4 linked regions of the Saccharomyces cerevisiae S288C genome follow. Changing the gene in region 2 together with the main gene of any one other region gives a genetic interaction. Each region holds a gene or a part of one and is shown on either strand. Other genes may lie near its edges.

Region 1 (5,106 bases), on a different chromosome or scaffold from region 2:
TTAGTCTTCTTTGTAATACTTGTCTTTTGATATTTCTGCACTAAATGAATGGACGATTTCTATATTTTTGGGTTTCTTTCCAATTGGACACAAAAATCAAAGTCGCAAAGCAGATTAGTCCTAAGCTTGATGACTGATCTCTGGTTTAGTCTGATTTAAACTATTAATTGGCTGAATTAGGAACTAATATGACAAATTCCAGTCTATTTTAAAGGTGATAAATTCTTTGCCTGCTAGAGGTTTTGCTCGTTGCATTTTTCCGATGCTCCTTCTAATTATTTGAAACCAACCCTATTTACGTTTTGCCTCTTTCGGCAATCAAATTGCTAACGCAAAAATCGCATGCACTTCACATTTTTCACTTTCATGAAAGAGGACATAAAGGAAGTGAAGGAAAGCTAACAAAGAACCGCAGAAAAAGAACGACACATTCTTTGTGGATATTCTAGAAATATGTAGTATGTAGGGTACTTTTTACCAATATTATGAATGTCAAATTATCATATAACCCTTCTATGAGTTATTTTAAGAGACGTTTTTCTATGCTGTAAAAAGTCATCAAATTCATTGTCCAGATTAACATCAGAAACATCCAGTATTCGGAATTCAAGTTCAACTAACGTTTCCTCACTCTGGTTTCTTTGCATGCCACGTTTCATTACATGGTACTCTGTGTAAGCGTTGGAATTATGTATTATGCGCTTGTGGAATAATATGGTATCGTGGATGAACCGATTAACAGTGTCTATCAAGATATTGGCATCCTTACTGTCCCGTACTATTGTTGATGCAATAGTAACATACCCGTGGAGGATATCAAGCATGAAATTACCCCGACTGACCAGATCACCCAAAAGCTTTTGCTGATTCATGTTATTGCAATCCACCGTCTGATATGAATGGTACAAGTGAATGAGATTTTCATAAACTTTAATGATGCCTTTGAATTTTGCGTTCATATCATCGACCAGTGGTGTTGGTAATTGCTTTGGATCATTCAAAAACCGCAAGGAGTTGGTTTTTTGTCTTATGTATATCAAAGGAAACAAAGCAGAGTGTCCAACACCCAATGAAGATGGGTAACTTCTCACTTTCGAATCTTTATCTGATGCTTCGTTGACTATCTTGTTCCCTTTAAATATCCTTGTAAAACACTTTGGATCGTCCGGATACATAAAACTTTCAATTTGAATGTCCACGAATTCTAAAAGGCACTTGCATACGAGATCTTTTAAGGCATTAACAATGTAAACTTTCCCTTGATCGCTTTCCACATCTTTTATTGAAATTGGCTGCATTGTAAGATATTGTTACAGATCTTCTTATTTCAGCAACGCCAATACTATTAATCTGTGTTTATGCCACCTGAGCCAGTCTGGCACATATCTGCAGTAACAGAAAAGTTTCCTACTCATGGCGCTATTTTATATATATCACTTACCTTTTCTTTTTATAAAAAAATGTTACGTGTATTATGGCATATATTGTTGGTGTACGGAAAACACGCGGGGAAGAGAAAGTATAGAAAAGTGATGACAGAAACAAATGACTCATTATATATGAAAAGAAATAACTGCAGCGGTGAATATGCCACACTGGCATTATCAACAAGGAGCTGTTCATTTAATATGCAACAGAATGATTGGGTAACTATGGAAGGACTATTTCCTTTTGTGATGGTTTTGTGTCATTTGGAAACGAAGCCAATGAAAATAGGTATCCAGCTTATACTACAAGTCCCTTTCATGGGTTTAGGAATTCACAAAGAGAATAAAGAATTCTACTTGATATTATGAAATTTTTTACATTTGTTCTATCAGTTAGTAAAATAAATTTTATTGCGCTGTCATTTCTTGCGTTGCGGTTTCTACGACGTTCGAAGACAGTTAGAATCTTGTGCGAAAATGTTTCGAACTATGCCATCTTTTAAACCCGATACATATTCCAGCGAAATGGCTACTATCATCCTTTATACTAGCAGAAAATAAAACTGAAATAACGGGTTTATCACAGTTTACATGAGTTGCCATTAGAAACGAAACGGGCGTGAAACCGTAAATTGATGTAGATATTTACATTCGTTTGCACCTCTGGCGAATTTAAGGAAACACAAACGATCTTTCAGGTAATAATGCAAGGTAGAGTGAAAAATCTACTAATTGGACCTTGACTTGGCATCTATATGTATAAAAATATTAGTAGTTATACACAACTTCTAGTATATTACCTGGCCTGTTCTTGGTGATACTATATTCTAGTTACTAATTATCAAAACTGACGATAACTAGGAGCCGTTTTAAAGATACAGCTTTCGGGGAGACAAGTAAGAATTTAATTCTTGGATATTTCAAGATGAAGCGGTGGCTCAATGGTAGAGCTTTCGACTCCAATTAAATCTTGGAAATTCCACGGAATAAGATTGCAATCGAAGGGTTGCAGGTTCAATTCCTGTCCGTTTCATTTTTTATACTGCAAGTGATAATTTAAGGATGGTTAAATGAAGGAAACGGTGTACTAAATGTGCAGGGGCGTCTCTGCTGTCGCGTTTACCGATTGCTTTTTATTGTACCTTTTCTATTCTTTTTTTTTTCGGTTCAATTCTTGTAAGTCCACTGACGGACAAGAAATGTTGACAGCGGTAATAATGTCTTGATATTGCTAAGCGGACCTATGTTATTATGTTCAGCAGCATTTATGTAGAACTTTAGCTGATCTAATGATCGCTAATGTTATTCTTGTATGAAATGCCTAGACAATTAGTATAAAATTTGTGTGAGGTTACGTATGCTAATTGCAATGCAAAGCGATATTATCATATTTTATGTTAATTATTCTAATCTCATACGTATATTCTATCCTATCTCGTAATGGTTACTAGCCAAATTCGCCCGTATGAATATGTTCTTTTTATATCAGTTCATATTCCTTTTGATTTAAATGATACTTCTTTTTTTGCAGCCTGAATAGGTGCAACAGTTGCCATCCATTACATTAGTGTTTTGATGAGCACGAAACAATGTCATAGGCTTATCTGCCCCCTAGGCACAACGTTAATTTAACATTTATGACTGAATGGAAACCTGAGGAAGCTATATCGATTGGATAACGGGATCATTATATCCTGAGATAAATGCACTAATGTCGAAGTTCAAAATTTTCTGTAAGAAACTGCTGTAGTTAACAAACTAAACTATATTTCTGACCCGAAGGTATTGTCTTAAAGCTGGCGTGTTTCATAAAGTAAATATTGGTAAAGAAGTTGCCTGCATACAGAGTATTTTCAAAGATACATATTCAATTTAGAACAAGAAATGCAGATTATATTCATCTCTCATGAATGATGTACAATTGTATTGTAACAAGGCTGGGACTTTACAGAGAAAAATAATTCTATAATTAGGAAGCGACCCAATTCAAAGACTAAAAAGTAATTTGAAATGGGGTAAAATGGAATAGAGAGGTTCTGTGGAATGTCATATTATGTAATGTTGTAAAGTTAATGGTGTATATTTTGAGAAGCTATTGGCAGAAGGATTAGCGTTGCTAAGAAAATGTTGGATCACTATCGCAGAGGGTTTAAAGAGAATGATTGGAAAAAAATATCTAATTCACTGAAGCAGAATGGGAACTACTATTTAAAAACATGACGTATATACTAGTAATCTTTCAGTCGATCTGGTTGGAAGTACTATAGCAGAACGAGGTACAAAAGAGTGCACATTTATCTTTCTGTTTTATCTTTTTTTTTTGTTCTTCGAGATTGTCTAACAAAACAAAATAAAAGTATACGGACTAAAAGTAAATAAAAAAATATCTTTCATAATATAAAGATATGCATATATACAAATAGCGGGGAAGTATTTTAAACTTTATAGGCAAAAATCTCTTTAAAAAGCTTTGCACAATGAACAGACGCACCCATTCTTGCACACAAAAGAAAAATGCCACTAAATTTTCTATGTAACGAGTATGTTTCCTCTGGTGGCGGACATAGTCTTTCATTCAACATTAACCCGATATTACCTCTAATCCTGTCTGAGACTGTTTGATCCTTGAAATCGAAAGATTTATCTACATCACCCCTAAAAGGTTCACCAAGTGTAAGTACACTATCGACGTGCGCGTCTTTCATGGACTGCGATTCTAAGCCTGTGAGATAGCCCAGTTGTACAGACATTTCGTACGCCCCTTTCCTATCTCTCAATGTGGCGTAAGTTAAAAGTTTTCTATATTTTAGAATAAAATCTTCTGCAAAAGGTCTGGAGGCACCGAAATCCAATAATTCAATTTTCTTTGTCCTACCGTTATAGAGGAAATTTGCCCAATTAGGATCCGTTTGCATATACTTGAAAGTGGCAATTTCTTCCAGACATAGTCTCATGATATTCTCCGAAATAAAATTTTTGGTTTCTTGTGATGCCTTGGGCAATTTCATTATTTCAGTTCCCTCCATACGTGTCATAGTTATAATATTATCGGTTGTATATTCAGGAAACACATGAGGAACCTCAAACGCTGGGTCATCCTTTAGCAACGCCTCAAACTTTTGTAGAGCTCTAGCCTCTCTGTTGTAATCACATTCCCATTTTAACTCAGTTCTAGCGTTGGCAATTGTCTTATCCAAAAATAATCCCTTCGGTAATAAACTTGAGGCTGTAAGTAACATTAGTAAACTATTCAAATCCGAATCAATGGATTCTTTAACCCCAGGATATTGAATTTTGACAACCACTCTTTGACCACTGGGCAACTCTGCCGCATGTACCTGTCCGATACTAGCAGCTGCCATAGGTATCTTGTCAAATTTGGAAAACTTTGTCTTCCAATTAGCACCTAATTCCTTGGCCATAACCTTTTCCAATTGCCTTTGAGGCATATGATTTGCACTATTCTGTACCCTTGATAAAATTTCGTATAATTCCTTTGGCAACACTTTCTCATCCTGAAAAGACAATAGTTGCCCTATTTTAAGGGCAACACCTCTCATTTTAGAAAATTTATTGGTAATTCTGTCAATATTCGAATCTGATAGAATCAAAGATTTCCAAGTGGGAGAATTGCCCTTTGCAACTTCCGATATGCCTTTTGCTGCGGCATTCATGCCCA
Region 2 (6,397 bases):
AACTTATAGAATTCAAAATTGAATTGAACGTTAGTTTTTGAAATGTCTTCTCTTCGTCGTAGATGTTAATATCCACACTTCTTAGCTGAAATTTGTTTTTTAAAAGTTCATTGGCTTTAACGCGTAAAGTTTCTAGTGTATCCATTGGAACCGAACCACTGTATGAAATGGTTATATTATTCAAATCAGACAAGAATAATGCTAATTGAGCCCTATGGAAAAAAATCTCATGGATTTCGAGCAGTTGCTCATCCGATTCGGAACCTGTTAGATCCTTCTTAACCCTTTTTTTATAGATTTCTACACAATTGGGATCCCGAACGTCAATGAAAAGATCAATCATTGAAAGGGGTGAGACCAATAGTCTACCCTTCAGGCTTGACTCCAGAGTTGCCATAGAGATAATTGATAGCCACTGTATCCTTCGTAAATTTAGCAGCCTTTTGTCTGAAGCTTCGGGGTGGTTCAAGGCTGGAAAGTCAGATGGGTCACGATGTAATCCGATAGACGTCCCTATTAGTATGACAAGGTTAATTATAACATCCGACGGTTGTTCTAACAGAAAATCACCCTCAGTTGGGGAAAAAACAAATGCACACCAGATATAGAGTAAGCATGAAATGGTATTTTCATTTGCACAAGCACACCAATTTTCCGATGCAAGTATCTGCTGCGCTAGGAAAATTACTTCGCTTTGAATCGGATATTGCTCTAGCATCTCTTTGGTAATATACGGACTGTAATCTTCAATCTTATCTTCTATAAATGTCAAAGAGATATACGCGATCCTCAAAATTAACAGTAAGATACACAGATTCTCCATTTTATTTCGTATAAGGGTTGTGCCCATCGATAGTCGTACCTCTCCTAATTCATTATACTGTACTGTTGTGTGAATTGATTCCTCCAACATTTCCTTGCTGGCGAAAGGGATTAGGTGGAAAATATGCTCAAAGAAATGAGAGAGGTACTGTTCAATGATTGCCTTGGGAGGGAGCGTTTTCTCGATTTCATTGATGTAGCCTTTCAACAAATCAGAATAGTCGTTTTCGGTGGGGCATGTATCCTCTAAATATGACGATTCCCTGTTACTGTATAATAAAGAAATTACTTTATTTACCGCAATCTGTTCTTCAGGGTTCTTTCTCTGTAGTAGCCTGTCCGTAAACTCGTTAATGGATTTTCTTTGTGATTCGTATTTTGAGTTTTTCAATAGAACCTCTCTCATTTTTACAACGTTATTCTTTACGCATGGCTGTGTCCTCGACCTACTAATATCTGCATTTAAAGCAGGAATCATGGAGTTTCTGGAACAACTTAGAAGCACGGAGGCAATTAATGTCTTCAGAAAGGTATCTTGAAATATTAAGTACTTCTCAGATAAAGGGTTGATTTCTCTTTTCATCACTTTGGTCATAATCAATCTGGGATGAGTCTTATAAAGACTTATTGGAAAGCTATTTTCCTGCAAGCTTTTACATGTCCTTCTAGCAGCTAATTCTTCAGTCGGCCTTTTCAATGCAGTGTAGAAGTCTTTCTTTTCTTGAGTCAAATCCACGGTTTTATTTCTCCAGTAACGAATCTCCTTTTTCAGTCTCGCTATGGTGGCATCCTTATTCGGATTCCTAGGGGCCGCCTGTCTGGCGACATCATATATACAAAAGAGGTTTTGTTTAGTACATCTGCCACATCTAGGTTTTTCCTGGTCACACTTCGTCTTTGCTTTTCTACAAGCTTGGCAAACAAAAGAAAGTCTATTCCTTTTTTTACCTACTCTATTCATTGCCGGTGATGATTCGTCTGTAAAGTACATCTTTTATCGAAGAAATTTTGTTCAGCAAGATCAGAAAGTGATATTTCATCCGCTCTATACGTTTCAGTAGATTTTCTTTATCTGACCTCTATTAAGTCCTAACAACGCTTTATGTTTTCTTCGTTGGAGATACTCCGGAGATTATATTTAGTTCCGAGATGGTCTTACAACCTTTCAAATTCCAAAATCAGAAGAAATTTTGCAGGAAGGCAAATCCTACCGGACGTATTAGTCACGATTTTATTTATTCACATATACAGATATTCACAGTTCGAATTTTGTTTACAAAGGTCAATCTTATTGATCTGCGGCTTTTGAATACCGTTGCATTCAAGAACGGCTTTCTTCATTTCGTGCAGTTCCGGGACCGATTCGTAAACCGCATCATCATCCATTTCACCCTTCAAAAAGGATCGTCTTTGATCATCAATAGGTTTGTATCTTGTATCAGGGTGTTTGTAGTATATTGCCATCGTAAAGCATATCAATATGAAAATGAAGAGATACAAAGAAAACGCTGCATTTAGAAAAAAGAAAATTAGTCCCATAAAAGAAGACACAGCTATGGGCTGCTGAAATAAGTTACTGAAAAATAAGAAAAAAAATGCGTTCACTAAATTCAGTGAATGGATACTAATATTGAAGAAGTTGGTTGTTTTATCCATGTAAGGTTGCATCCAGCACAAAAGGATGAGATAGATAGCTTCATTCAAAAAGATACCAATAGATTGAGATTTTCCGTGCGCTTGTAGAGAACCCACTAGTATAGACCTAATAAGCATGTGTGCAGAGGTCGCCATTAACCACCAGACTTTTGTAGACTTAAATTGAGAGGAAAGAAAGCCGAACTTGTTTAAGAATTTCGAGCTACTGAAGAGTAAATAGCTTGGCTGGCCAAATATTTTCTTAGACTTGATCATCTTCCTCCATATTCTTACGCTTGCGGATGATAACAAGACTGTAATCAAAATGAAAACAACGATTGCCTCCACTAAGGTAGCTGCTGAGTCTGTTTGAGTGAACTCCCAAAGTGCTAAAAGAGATATCTCAGAATAAATTATGAACACCGCTCGATATAGTGTCCCCTGTAAAAGTGCACTCCAATGTGTGTGGAAGTGTAAATATCTAATTGTCTTAACTTTAAACTTCTGAAGTACTTTCAAAAATGTTTTGAAGATAATAAACGCCAATATTATCATACAAATGAATATGATAAAGAAGGAAAATCCCGTTAAAAAGAAATTTGATATCTCAATTCCAGCTTTGTAAGACACCCTTTTAATACCTCTTAATACTAAAATTTTTGACAGATAGTCATTTGAATTTCTCAAATTTGAAGTGTATAATAAATCATTTTTTTGGGAACTTTCAATACCATTTAAATTACTTGACGCTGATATGATTTTACTGTTCAAGGATCTTTTTTGAACACTGATCGATAAAACTTCTTTATTGCGGTATACAACGGTGGGGGACCCAGATGTTGCGACAACATACCAGTCAAATAACCGCTGCATAAAATTTATCCTTATTATTCCCATTGACCATTGGAAATTTTGAGTCCAAGCGGCGACAATAGGCGGTAAAAATGATACACTAATCATAGCTAAAATAGCCAAATTTTGGAAATATAAAAGTAGCGATATTGAATAAGACGCCAGTCTTGTTGAAGTAACCGTATAACCTTGCAAAGAATAAACCACTGAAAACATAATTCCGGAAATTGTCAATATCACTAGATTCCACGATAAATACTCTGTTTGGACTGTTCTACCATTTGATAACATCACTTGTACACATGCTAGAGGTTTGGTAAATTCTTTATCAATAGTGGAGTATGCTGTCACCACAATATATGCGTCTAAGTCAGGTATATTATATGTTATGCTTGGTATTTGGCTAGCTACCGCGGCCTCAACATAATAACTTCCCATGAGTTCTATATTTCCCGGCTTCAACGGACATAATAAATTATCTTGGATTCCACATAGATCAAAAACTTTGGTATAAACATTGAGACCATATGCAATCAATTCTGCCTTGATGGTTATGTTTTCGCTCATAATTGTTTGTGCTTCAACATTAAAGAATAGAGTATTATTTCTCGGGAAAAAAGCAGCTTCGAAATACGATGCAGAAAACTGTGAGTCTTTAGCACAAGTCAACAGAGCCGAAGTCCTTAGATATTCTTTAGTATATGCATCAAATGGTACTGGGAATAGAGTCGATGCGTTGTTCAGTAGTGTAAAAGAGTTAGAAACCTGGAAAGTAGAGCTGTTAATGGAAATAGCGTGTATTTGTCGGAAGATTGCTAGCAAAACAAAAATCCGAGATAAAGAGAAGACTTTAATGGGAAGCATACTTATTCTCTTTACATCTATAAATCAGAGAGGTTAAATATTATTTAAAATAGCATTACGACTTTGCTTCATCATCCTTCCAAAATATTGACACTGCATCATTTTTTAAATGTGTCAGTAATTCGGGCACAAAAATATAAATGGACCGCCATGAACTAAAGCTGTCGTCGATATGGATCGCTCCATAGCAGCATTATAAAAATTAAAAATGCATCAATACCATGCTACAGTAATAACAAAATACAGCATGGATTACCACTACATATTCATCATGTCATGCATTATAGTTGTAACATATGCTGAACACCCATTCATCACGTGTAATTGGACATCCGTGGAGTTCCAAAAGGAGTATAAACGCAAATAGTAAAGCTAAGATATAAGTAGTGTCTAAGTAAATGACTTCTTTGTAAGCGTACAGCTAAAGTTTACCGATGAGTTACGATAAGAAGGCAGATGTCACATCCTTAGATGAAGATTTGAGACAACTAAGAGAAAGCAAATTTTCACCGGAAGCAATTCAAAATATCAAAATATGGGTATATAAATCTGTCCTAAAAGAGATAGCTCCTCCTGGAGACTTATTGGAATGCTTGAAAGATGGAACAGTCCTATGTAAGCTGGCAAATATTTTATATGAAGCAGACACAGGAGAAGCTAACCATATTAGTTGGAAGAGCTCTAAAATGCCATTTGTTCAAATGGATCAAATTTCCCAATTTTTATCATTTTCGAGAAAATATGGTGTGCCTGAAGATGAACTGTTTCAGACAATTGATCTTTTTGAGAAAAAGGATCCTGCCATTGTTTTCCAAACGTTGAAGTCACTATCTCGTTACGCCAACAAAAAACATACAGATAGATTTCCAGTTCTAGGACCACAACTGTCAACAAAGAAGCCAAGACCCCCGGTTAAGTCTAAACCAAAACATCTACAAGATGGTACTGGATGGAGCACTTTTGAATACGGTTATATGAAAGGTGCATCTCAGGCTACTGAAGGAGTGGTGTTAGGACAACGGAGAGATATAGTTTAGAGAATTATTATTAACACTTTCTCTGGCAGAAATTGATAAATAAACATTTAAGAACCCTATATACGCAACCAAAGTTCCTTTGATATATTTTAGTTTTCCATCAAAGTTTTCCTACATAAACACTAAGGTGGCTAGAGACGCGTAACAAAAGTTAACGTTACCGGTAAAAATGTGATTATACAAATCAATCTCACAGAACGGTGTGGAAACAAAGTAGTTGAAGGATTTCAACTATGCGAATCAACAGTGAGCTAGCGAACAAGTTTTCTGCCTCAACGGTGCACTTAGAACATATCACAACTGCTTTAAGTTGTTTAACACCTTTTGGTTCTAAAGACGATGTGCTTATATTCATTGATGCTGATGGGCTGTCATTTGTCAGGGAGAATAATCATGTGATAAAAATCCAACTACTGTTATCTCGGGAGCTATTTATGTCTTATTCGTATAGAAATGAAACTGAGGATCACATGAAACTTTGTGTAAAAATAAATCATATCTTAGATAGCGTTAGCGTGATGAACAGGAATTCGGATGACATTGTTGAGTGTACTTTATCTTATGATGGACATGGATCACCATTTGTACTAATATTTGAAGACTCGTTCATTTCTGAGAGAGTGGAGTACTCTACCTACTTAATTAAGGATTTTGATACTAATGGACTAGAACTCGATAGAGAAAGGATAAGCTTTGAGGCAATTATTAAGGGCGAAGCCCTTCATTCAGCCTTAAAGGATCTAAAAGAAATCGGATGCAAAGAGTGCTATGTATATGCAAAGACCGAGGCGAATGATGAGAATGTATTTGCCCTGATATCTAAATCTCAGCTAGGATTTTCTAAAATAAAATTACCCAGTAACAGATCCATACTAGAGAAGTTACAAGTATTTGACGGAGATTCCACAACAGTAATAGATGGTTTTGCTGTAATTGGGTTCTTCGATTTCACCTCGTTTGATAAAATCAGAAAGAGTACTAAAATTGCAAGCAAAGTCCTTTTCAGGATGGATGTTCATGGCGTATTGAGTGTAAATATTCTAAGTCAAACAGACGATGTCATTATCACTGATACTACAAGACCTTCAAATAATCGACCAGGTAGTATTCGCCAACTGCAGCTACCCAAGGATTATCCCGGTATAGTAATTGAGGTTTGCATGCTAGAAAAAGAATCCATAGATGAG
Region 3 (4,985 bases), on a different chromosome or scaffold from region 2:
AAGCTTATTACTCTCAATTCAGATGATCTTGTTCCTTTCCAACATATAAAGCATTTTCTTCCATAGAGTTACGTACTATTCCAGGAGGCTTTTCGGACTCATACCATATAGAAAACTATTTTTATGCTTCTTCATTTACTTCTACTTGTTTATGTTTATTTGTAAAATTACATTATTTAATTTCTTGAAAGTAAAAAACTTGAATTTCTGAAATAAATAAAAACTAGAGAAAAATTAACGATGAGGCATGCGACGGAAATCAATATTGAAACTTCTCAAAGCTGAACCACTGAAAGGGTTCTTTAGGACAATTTTCATTCCCTTAATCAACAAAAAATGACTAAAACCTACATATTCTTCTTAGAAAAAATACATACGCAAAACAAGATAGAAGAGCAACTGTTGATACGATAGCAAGGGTGACAGAGACTATTCAATTATATGTCTTTTATTTTCATTCTTATCACCACTTTTCCGTTTTCAACTTCGTTGACCGCAAATTAAATCTGTTCTTCTGGTGGTTGATTCAGTAATTCTTCGATTATTGGACAAAGCTCTAGTGGCCTAGTCATGCATGAAAACCTTTTAACCACCTTCCCATTTCGGTCTACCACAAACTTTTCAAAATTCCATTTTATCATTTTTATTCCAGACTTCCCGCTTACTGAATTCTTTAAGAACTTGTAGACGGGATCTTGCTTTTGCCCGTTGCAACGGATCTTATGTAGAATAGGGAAGGTTACACCATATTTATCTTGACAGAACTTATTAATCTCTTTATCCTTCTCGAACTCTTGATTTCCGAATTGACCACAGGGAAAGGCCACAATCACTAGACCATGTGATTTGTATTTTTCGTACAAGTACTCTAATTCCTTGTATTGAGGTGTGAACGCACAATGAGATGCTACATTGACTATCAAAACCACTTTGTTACGCAGGGAGTTGAAGGGGAATGGATTTCCGTTTTCATCTATTGGTGAAAAAGAATAAAATTCTTGCATCGTTACTTATAAATATTGTGTTTCTCCGCTTATATTCCTTATACGGGTTCACAATCAGAGAACCTCGCCGTGCACAATATCACCTACATGACTAAAATATATTTGTACATTACTGTGTTATATAATCACTTAATATTGTTCACCATAAGCAATCTCTGTAGTAGAGGTGAGCCCCGGCTTTAAGTTCTCTTAGATGTGGCGAACAAGGGATGAATCGCTTACCCTATAGAATTAGGGAACAGAAGGGGAAAGCAAATACGGAAAATTTTCCACATGAAGACGGTAGTGGGGTATGTCAAGGGGATACTAATGTATAATTAATATATATGTGTGTATCTACATTATTTGGTGTTGTTTTATTGGGTGATGGATCGAAAGGTGGATTCTATCAAGTCCTTCAACTCCTTATAGGATATAATAATACAGTTTAACTCATCGGGCGTTACCAACATTAACTTTTCTTGAATACCAGCGTCTAATTTGTTCAAACATCTTAGGACATGAGTTAAATCCATTATTGGTTTCCCATTCGAATCCACTTGATGGAATACGTAGTCATAAAATAGTATAATGGGGAATTTAGTCCCAGATTCGGACCAATTTATGTCTATTCTTGATTCGATTCTACCAAAAATGCAATTTAGCTTGTTGACCAGCCTAAATAATCTGCCATTTTCTAGTTCTCTTGATAAGACAGACTCCATGTATTCTGTATAGGTTTGTGACGATTCCAGGACCATGAACATCTTATCATAAAAGTGACTAGTAAGATCATGAATGCTCTTTTTGGAATCGCCGTTGTCTGATATCAGATACTTGAGTACATCCTTGAACTTATCATCGATCTGTCTCATGTCATCAATTGATTGAGGGGTTATTTCCTCCAATCGATATTCTTTAGGGGCAGTGTTGTTATTAGAGTTTTCAATATTAATGGATAGGTTAAATAATAGCTCTCCTAAATATTTGTAGTCTAGCTGTTGTTGTCCCTCTATGGTACTTCCGCCGGAAGATACTACGGTATCAGTATCATCATTGAACAAAAGGTCCATAAAATTGCAGTGTGATAACTTGATTCTCCCTGGGTCCCCAGTAATCAAAACTTTTCTCCAGTTTAATGTATTGCCAATACTCAAGTTTTGTGAATGGATAGAGTTTATTACATTGGTGAGTTGAACTAAATATATCCATAAATAATTATTCGTTATTGGAAACTTAGGGAAATTAACAAAGTGGTAATCATACAAAGATAGCGAGTTTGGGTAGTAGTCAAAGACCAAACAAATAGACAGATCACCAAATTTAGTAGTTTGAAAAATGTCCCTAAACTTTATCAAATTTGTACAATTAATTTTTGACCATATCTGATATATTTTGGATATTTTGTTTGGATTCATTGACTTATCGATGTTAGGAAGCCTCTTCAAAACGTAGGCTTTACCGTCATAATTGGAAAAAACTTTGAAGAGCGTAGTTTTATTTAAAAAATCGTTATTATTGAAGTTCAATGGAACCAAATTAAAATAATCTTGTACAATACTTGGTATAACTTTACCTGAAGAGGGGAAAACCTGCAAAATCGATAAGTTTTTCTTGGTTAAATCTTCTCTAATATTGTTTGGAATGAAAAGCTGATCTGCAGACCTTTCATTAGGCTTTAATAATGATTTCAATGATGATGGCTGTTCAGGTGCATATAGGTGATACTGTAGAAGACTGTGAGGAGGCGGATAAATACGTGGGTACTTAAGATTACTACTCTCTATGGGTGGCGGTTGCATAGGAGGTGGCACATTATTAGCCATACTCATATTGTTACTATTATCATCAGTGGCGTTTATATTTATGCCACCAGAATTTGCAATGGAGGGAAATGGAAAAGAATGTGCATTTGCATTAGTGTGAATTGAGGAGGTTGAAGACGGAGTGAAAATGGGGGCATTGAAGGGGTCGTAATTGGAACTCGAAGCGGTAGTTGGTATTGATATGCTTATATTACTATTATTGTTATTGTTATTCACTAACGAGCTATTAACTATCGGATTAATCATCGGATTAACTGTAGAAGCAGTAGCAGAGGTAGCTGCCATGGCGATATTGCCAGTAGCATTTGTAGCAGCGGAGGTGGTATTCGTCACAGTGGTTAAGGAGTCACTACCGACTGTCATCGGAGTGAAACTTGCGGATACTTTAGCATTGAACTTAGGAACTGATGTCATGGTCGGAGTTGTAGCCTCACCCACATCTATTGGAGGAGGAACGTCATTTATGGTAGTAGCGGTAGTGTTATCGCTGTGTTTGAAAGGGCAACCTTCTTTCTCCTTTTTGCAGTAGCCATAAATAGTGATATTTCTGCACGGAATATCCTTCGCCCAATCAGGATTGATTTTGTCCATGGCGTAAGATACGTCTGACTAGTCTTTTAGGCTTACCTATCATCGAAACAGTGCTCCCGCCATTGTTATTATTGCTCTTTTAATTCATAAACCAAATAATTTAGCAGTTTATTTTAAGGTTACCCTGTAAAGGTCTGATATGTAGGGGAGGGCATATAATCATTTTAATATATATGTATATATTCTTACATATATATATAATATCGCCGTAACTTATAGCGTAAACTATATAAAATACGTCTTAGTCTATAAGCTATCACGGATAGCGTCTTGGACGTCTTTGTACACATCTTCGACGGATCTGTCGCAACGAACACGGACGACTTTCGATTTGGTTTCAAAGTACTCGATGACGGGCATACTAGTCTCCTTGAAAGTGTTAAATCTCTTCTTAATGGACTCAATGTTGTCATCGCTTCTACCACTGGTCTTGCCACGCTCCAATAGTCTCTCTAACATGATATCTTCAGGGCAGTCAAAGAACAGGATGAATTTGCTTTCAACGATGTCTCTTTCAAAGGAAATGGCTTGATCCATCTTCCTAGGAAATCCGTCAATTAAGAACTTATGCTTGTTCGCCTTGACGTTATCGGAAATAGCGTTGCGTAAAAGCGCCAAAGTAATCTCTTGAGGGACAATCTGGCCCTCTTTGATGCAGTTCTTGATCAATTCCCCATATTGGGAACCTGCTCTGCCCTGCTCAGCACGTAGAAGGTCTCCGGCTGACAAATGGACAAATGAATAGTCCTTAACTAGTTTTTCACACTGAGTACCCTTGCCTGCACCGGGTCCTCCTAGAACGAAGATCACGGAAACTTGGTCAGGCGAGAAAGCTGGCTGTGATGTAGTGGCAGCTGTCATTTGTCTTATTCAAGAAATTCAACTGGTTCGTTCTTTTGATAGTTTACCGAAATAACTGATGTCACGAGTGCTAAAGTTCCTACGAGTACCAACAATTTGCCTTTGTGTTTACCCTTGCTTTGACTTTTGTTAGCGCGTGGTACGTTTACGTTGGTCTTCGAAGGTGCTGTATTGTGGAAAGTTGGTTTTTTCGAAGAATAAAATCTCAGTATAAACCTGTAGCGTGGATTCATAATATAACTAAGCTAACATAAAAACGGGAGAGGGTGTGTGCGACTAAAGGCAAAGACAGGAATGCATCGCTTTAAAAGATCACCATAACTACTTAAAAGTTTCGTTAACGTGGTGAAAAAGAAAAGAAAAAGAAAAGTGAAAAAAATAAACCTAGGGTTGAAAATATAATCAGTTAGGTGTCATGATATTGATACATTTATTTCTATAGGTCTGAGAGTACTAACTTAGGGTATATGAGGGGTGTTAAGTTGGGATGATGACGCATTAATTAAGAGTTCATTATATGAGGATATTGTATACAATGCAAGAATAGCGCCCCAATCCCGGCCAGGTATAACGTGCAAGCATGAATAAAGAAGAATTATTGGGTTTTCTACTAGATGACAGTATTGATAGCCAAAAAAGATGCGTCACGGATCAGCAGGCCTACTCTAATTGGTTAAAGAATGATAATGATGAACGTACGGCCCATGAGGAAAGCTCTTCACAA
Region 4 (6,034 bases), on a different chromosome or scaffold from region 2:
ATTTCCTATGAATTTTGATGAATATTACTAAGATAAAAAAACACTGTAAATTGCTCATCAACTGTTTTCCTCTACAAACAAATCTACACTTGGCTGGCATGGGTGAATCGTTTAGCGTGTTCTTTTTTTTTTCGCGGCTTCTTTAGATTGCGCCTGTTAGTAAGATGCCCGCTGTCAACAATCTGCTCAATGCGGTATTCACAATGATATCTGTGATATTTCAAGCCTCACTTGCTAAAGATGAGTTCCGTGGATCTTTGGTGAAAAGAACAATAAGAGGTTGTCATATTCTTGGGAAGGGGCTTATCATGCAGCAAAAGACTTATGCGTATATATAGTTTTCATAATAAAGGGATAAGATACCTTGCCTGTTTCATTCTATAATAATAAACCCTGTAAAAGTATGTAATAGACAGTCAGCACTTTTCACCACTTCGAACATGGCAAAAGACGGCTTCGAGTTATATAGATACACTCCGGAATTAGGTGCGAGTATACTTTTTACGGTACTTTTTGCAGTATCAGGGGTAGCATTTGTAATTTTACTATTCCATTATTCTGTGAAAAGTAAAAGGAGAGTTGGCTCTCTTATGAAGTCCCAACCCGTATTGCGGTATTACGGTACGGTAAACTTAGCAGGAGCGTACATTCCCTTTATATTTGGGTGTTTTGTTGAGTGTGTGGGCTTTGCGTTTAGATGTAAATCAAGCAAAGACACCACACTACTAAACCCCTATATTATTCAAACGGTTTTCTTGCTGGTGTCTCCAACATTATATGCTGCCAGTATTTACATGATTTTTGGTAGAATGGCTACTCTGCTGTTCGCAGAAAACTTAATGATCATGCCCGCTAGATTCAATACTACAATATTTGTGATTGGCGATGTAGGCAGTCTTCTATTACAAGCAATTGGTGGTGCTATGATGTCTAAAGTGACAAGTGCATCTTCTGGTTCTCATCTCGTTACAGCTGGTTTGTTCATTCAAATTGCTTTTTTTGGTCTCTTCATTATAAATGAGGTTTTGTTCATTTTCAAGATGAGCAAAAAACCAACCAATGTATCGGTAAGGTATGGTAGTTGGAAATACCTAAACATTGCTTTATTGGTGAACAGTTTCCTGATTTTAATTAGGTCGATCGTCAGAGCTGTTGAATTTATTCAGGGTTATGACGGAGAAATTGCCTCGCACGAGTGGTATCTTTATATTTTTGATGGTTTACCAATGTTTTTACTCGTATTAATTTTTATTGTGGCGTTCCCACTAATTAACATTTTTAGAATACATGAAGAGTCTATTCAAGCGCAACAATCAGCAAGATTTGACGGCACCGACTATCCTGACGTTGAGGTGACGTCTATCGAAGAAGATCTCGCTTCAAAGAGCGAATAAACTGCTTTCTATATTTACATGTGGGAAATGTGGTTTTATTCTGTATTTGAGCTAGTGAAGTGCTGCTAGTATAAATTTAAGTAATCTTTCATATATTGCCAGTGGGGTTCTAGCACTTTAGTGAGAGTATTTGGATAACTGATACAACAATGTAGTCCGTTACCAGGAGTAGAGATTACGCTTAGTGAGAAAATTGAAGATATTCCTTGCGGCTCGTTGAATGTAGCATCCACTATATAAAACGGTAAACTGGTGTTGCATGCATCTTTAAATGTTTGAAATCCTAAGTTTGTTACTTCAAATGTGGAAGAAGGTCCGTTATTCAAGCTAATTTTATCTTCTATGTATTGTTGAGAAGAAATAACCTCCAATAACTTTACTTCGTTTACTTTATCTATTATTTTATCCTCGGAACTGCTTCTTATGGCCCTTTGAATTTGAGAAGCGATATCCCATATTCCACGGTTTTGATGTAGTTTATGGTTGAATTCTATGACCGCAATAAAATTTCCCACGGCGAGCTTATCATCTGAAGGTAATTTCAAGACTCGTTCAAAAGGCTTTCTAATATTCATTGGTAATTCAATTTTCAAAAATGATCCGGTATACTCATGTGCAGCTATTTTTTCGAAACTGGTGCAGACCAGGGCACCTAAAAGGGAAGTCAACGAAGTATTATTGGCCTTGCATTCTTGTAAAATGTCGTTGAGATGGGTCGGCGATAATCGAAACTCCCATTGATGGTTCGTGTTTTTAACTTTGTATTTTTGAGTTCCATCGCTCGGTTTATCATCCAGCAGGTCTTTTGGAAATGAGTAGTTGGCAAATTGGATTAAATTTCTATTGTTTTTTACGACTGTTTGTGGAAACCAATAATGTAGTCTACTGACCAATTGTCGCACTATATGCCAATTCCAAGGTATGGGCCAATCTCCGTATAGTGGGGCTGACATTATTTTTTCAGTTGATGAATTTAATGATGGTGAATATATTGTTTCATCAATTTCAACCGGCTGTTGCATCTGTAGGCCTTCCATAAACGTTTCCCACACATGAATAGCGGACATCCCATCCATGAGAACATGATCTGTCAGCAATAGCATTTGATTTTGATTAGGGAGGATCAGAATTTTCCATAAAGGTTTATTCTCGTTGTATGAAAAGTTATACCTTTGAAAGATGTGGTTAATTTCGGTTTCCCCTAACTGGTCCCAATCGTGGCGGTATTCTACTAGATCGCAAAATTTCAGTGGCTCAAGAATGTTTTGTAGGAAGTTTTCCTTTTTCAATTCATCATAGAATACATTACAAGTCAAACGTTCATGTTGGATTACAGTATACTTAAGAGCCGCTATCAGTTGACTTTTTTTGGGCAATTCGTTGAGTTTGATTCCGACATAAAAACATGAATGCAAATTTAGTCTGCTTCTATGGAAAAAGTAACTTTCAATAGCAGAAAGTTTAAGATTCATTCTTGCGCTTTTTCCTTTTCGTAAAAATATCTGTAGATTGTTCGTTTTGACAGCATTTATAGTTGTCCTCTTTACCTCTGCTCCGCACAAGTTGAGTTAAAAGAAAGAATATAAAGCAAAAACCTAAAAAAAAAGATATGAAGCAGGAGCCAAAAAATGCTGTATTATCTATTTCAACTATTATACAAAAGTTTAAAAATATAGGTAAATCTTCAAGACTGCGCTATCTATTTGAATAAAAACGAATAAGTATTATCATATCAAATGAGTGCTTGTGTGGTTAGGATATATGTAAAGAGGAAGAGGAAAGGGGGAGGTGATACCGAGGCCAACGATCGTTACTCAACCTTGATATCGGACAATCCCAGGTCTTCATTTTGCTCTTTAGTTCTTTCATAATCTTCGATAGTCATGTTTGGATCCGGATCTGGGGCGTAGACATTTTGTATGTACGACCCGGCCAATGGATCTTCCATAATGACTGTGAACTTGACTTTCCCAGCGATGGCCTCCTTTAGCTTGGCAAAAAATTCTACCCAGCGGGCTTTCGTTGCTTCGTCCATGGAATCCGAAGTTTGAGTGAAAATACGGGATTCTAGTTCTTCGTAGACTTGTCTTAGTAAACCTTCCAAAGTGGTGAATCTACCACCCAATGTACCTTCTTGAATATCAAGATGTAATTCAGGAATTACCATACTACAGGTCTCAGATTTCAAAATATCACGGGACAAGTCAGCTGCATCGTCACAGTATAAAGTAATCCTTCTTCCTTTGTCAGGGATGGCACCACCGGTCTTCACCTCATTAGACTTATAACCACAATGATCGCAGACCGTCGACATGATAATGACTTCTTTAAAGTGTGGGATATTTACTGGCTTCATATGAGTTTCACACTCTTGGGTACACGATGGACAAGAAGCTCTGAATGTTTGCACCTCGTTGTTAAAGTTTTCGATGTCGGTGGCGTCTGACAAAAACTGTGGGTTTGCTGAGCCAACTTTGACAGATTCAGAAGGATTTCTTTCACGGTTGGCCAATTGTTTTAATTGTTCTTGGCGACGTTGCTCCAACTGGTCTCTAGTAATAATGCCAACTTGAACGTTTTGTTCGTCGGTTCTCACGTACTGGGTATGAGACCATTTGTGTTGAGGTTCACCGGGTTTGTATTCGATCCAGGAATTTCCCGCAGGATCATCCAAAATAAATGTAATCGGAATAGTGTTGGGTTCACAATTGATGTAGGATTTAACTTTCTGTATGAAGTCATCGATCTTCTTGTAAAGAGCTTCGTCTATAGATTTTCTCATTTCCTGGTCTTGCGACAGATCGTCGATCATCTCGGATAACAAACCTTCAACTGTCGTCAATTGACCTCTCTTAGCAGGAATCTCAATGTCTAGCTCGACAAACTTACAAGTGGCAGTTTCTGACTTAATAACTTGCCTGTTAAAATCTTCACGGCACTCCACTTTCAAAACGTAACGAGAGCCCTTCTCTTGAATTTGAGAAGCGGGTTGGATCTCACAGTTCTTAAACCCACAGTGAGGACAGTCGAATGACATAATAATTATTTCTCTGAAATAAGGGATGGAAGTCAGAAGAAGTCTGGTTGTACCGTTCTTTCCACAATTCATACAAAGAGACTCTATCTCTTGCACTGGATGGCCCATGGCGTCCTGTGCGCCGGTTAACTTGACGCCGTCATTAGCTTTGTTCTGTTCGGCTATGCTTTCATCTTCGACCTCTGCAGCAGCTTCTCCTACTGGTTTAAACAAATCTTCCTTTTGTTCGCTCATTATTTTCTATCCTATTTCTTAACGGTATAGGTATAATATGTATCTCTGTGTATATATGCGACTAGCTATTGCTAACGATGCGAACCTACCCGATAACGCTATGATTTCCTTTGCGTTGAACATCATAGCATTATAAATGTGCATCTCATCGCTGAAAAATTTTCGTCAACTATAAACTTTTAGGATATTCTAGCCCTGATGGGGCTAGAATATTCTAGAAAACTCCAGAGGGTTTCGGCACAATTTATTGTAGGGTTAGTAAGGGCTTTTTTATCAAGGTGAAAAATTCACTCGATGCCTTTTTTTTTTTTTCTCGAATAGATAGATATGCAAGAAATGTAATGCTATGCAGTGCAAAACAGATGTGTAAGTGTTCTAGGATGAATTGTAATGAGAGTTGGTTTTATTTTCATTTTGCGTTTTCGTTTTCCGTCTTTTAGCTTTTGTCCAACTAACTTGTAGTATAAGCTGTCTGTAAGAATAAAACGGAAATAGAGCCAGTATGCCCAGGGATCCATTGATTGGTATTGTGGGTAAGCCATCTTCAGGGAAATCCACCACATTAAATTCTTTGACGGACGCAGGTGCGGCGGTAGGAGCATTTCCCTTTACCACGATCGAGCCAAATCAGGCAACCGGCTACTTGCAAGTTGAGTGTGCTTGCTCCAGATTTGGCAAGGAAGATCTTTGTAAACCTAACTACGGGTGGTGTAGCAAGGGTAAGAGGCATATCCCCATCAAACTGTTGGATGTGGCAGGGCTTGTGCCTGGAGCGCATTCCGGCAGAGGGCTTGGAAATAAATTCTTGGATGATTTAAGACACGCAGATGCTCTTATTCATGTGGTGGACGTTAGTGGAACCACAGATGCAGAGGGGAAGAACACAAGAGGATATGATCCATTGAACGATATAGAATGGCTGCAAGACGAAATCAGGCTTTGGGTTGAGGGGAACCTGAAGAAAAGATGGGGGTCTATTGTGCGTAAACATACAGCAACGAAATCTAGCATAGTGGACACACTTCAAGCGCAATTCGGTGGGTACGGTTCACATGCGCCCATGATCCAAAAAGCCCTGGACAGGTTGAAGGGACTACCACCTTTGGAAAAATGGGATGACGAATGGATCACTCGAGTGGTCAAGTCCTTTATGATGGAGAAATTTCCAACTGTGTTGGCACTCAACAAGATTGACCACCCTGACGCCGATAAAAATGTTTCTAAAATCATGCTAAAGTATCCTGACACCAAAGCTGTACTGACCAGTGCAGTGACGGAAGTTTTTTTGAGGAAATTGAAAAAGCAAGGTTTTATATTATACGAGGAGGGCACGGAATTTGTTGACACATTTGAGGACGAGCCAGACAAA

Evidence for each region.
Region 1: mutations in YOR365C (region 2) and ARO5 together harm fitness more than expected from each alone (negative genetic interaction), as found in Saccharomyces cerevisiae (one large-scale study listed by BioGRID).
Region 3: mutations in YOR365C (region 2) and GPX1 together harm fitness more than expected from each alone (negative genetic interaction), as found in Saccharomyces cerevisiae (one large-scale study listed by BioGRID).
Region 4: mutations in YOR365C (region 2) and SLI1 together harm fitness more than expected from each alone (negative genetic interaction), as found in Saccharomyces cerevisiae (one large-scale study listed by BioGRID).

What each region holds. Positions count from the first base shown.
Region 1 is NC_001139.9:284,704-289,809, reverse strand, and holds ARO5 (Aro5p), read right to left. Parts: upstream 1,299-5,106; coding exon 501-1,298; downstream 1-500. Other genes in the region: ubiquitin-protein transferase activating protein CDC20, read right to left, coding at 1-1; YGL118C (uncharacterized protein), read left to right, coding at 1,359-1,796; protein kinase COQ8, read right to left, coding at 3,863-5,106.
Region 2 is NC_001147.6:1,021,400-1,027,796, forward strand, and holds YOR365C (putative flavin adenine dinucleotide transporter), read right to left. Parts: upstream 4,174-6,397; coding exon 2,062-4,173; downstream 1-2,061. Other genes in the region: oleate-activated transcription factor PIP2, read right to left, coding at 1-1,813; SCP1 (Scp1p), read left to right, coding at 4,608-5,210; RAD17 (Rad17p), read left to right, coding at 5,444-6,397.
Region 3 is NC_001143.9:388,880-393,864, forward strand, and holds GPX1 (glutathione peroxidase GPX1), read right to left. Parts: upstream 1,005-4,985; coding exon 501-1,004; downstream 1-500. Other genes in the region: TCD2 (tRNA threonylcarbamoyladenosine dehydratase), read left to right, coding at 1-26; PAN-complex poly(A)-binding subunit PAN3, read right to left, coding at 1,361-3,400; URA6 (bifunctional uridylate/adenylate kinase), read right to left, coding at 3,647-4,261; MIN9 (Min9p), read right to left, coding at 4,267-4,494; SKA1 (Ska1p), read left to right, coding at 4,842-4,985. UniProt on the Saccharomyces cerevisiae protein: Glutathione peroxidase-like protein that protects cells from phospholipid hydroperoxides and nonphospholipid peroxides during oxidative stress. Has peroxidase activity using thioredoxin or glutathione as a reducing power. Involved in peroxisome formation.
Region 4 is NC_001139.9:913,872-919,905, reverse strand, and holds SLI1 (N-acetyltransferase), read right to left. Parts: upstream 2,867-6,034; coding exon 1,460-2,866; downstream 1-1,459. Other genes in the region: RTA1 (Rta1p), read left to right, coding at 441-1,394; zinc finger-containing protein ZPR1, read right to left, coding at 3,205-4,665; YGR210C (uncharacterized protein), read left to right, coding at 5,168-6,034. UniProt on the Saccharomyces cerevisiae protein: Confers resistance to the sphingolipid biosynthesis inhibitor drug myriocin (ISP-1). Inactivates ISP-1 by converting it into N-acetyl-myriocin. Cooperates with YPK1 in mediating resistance to myriocin.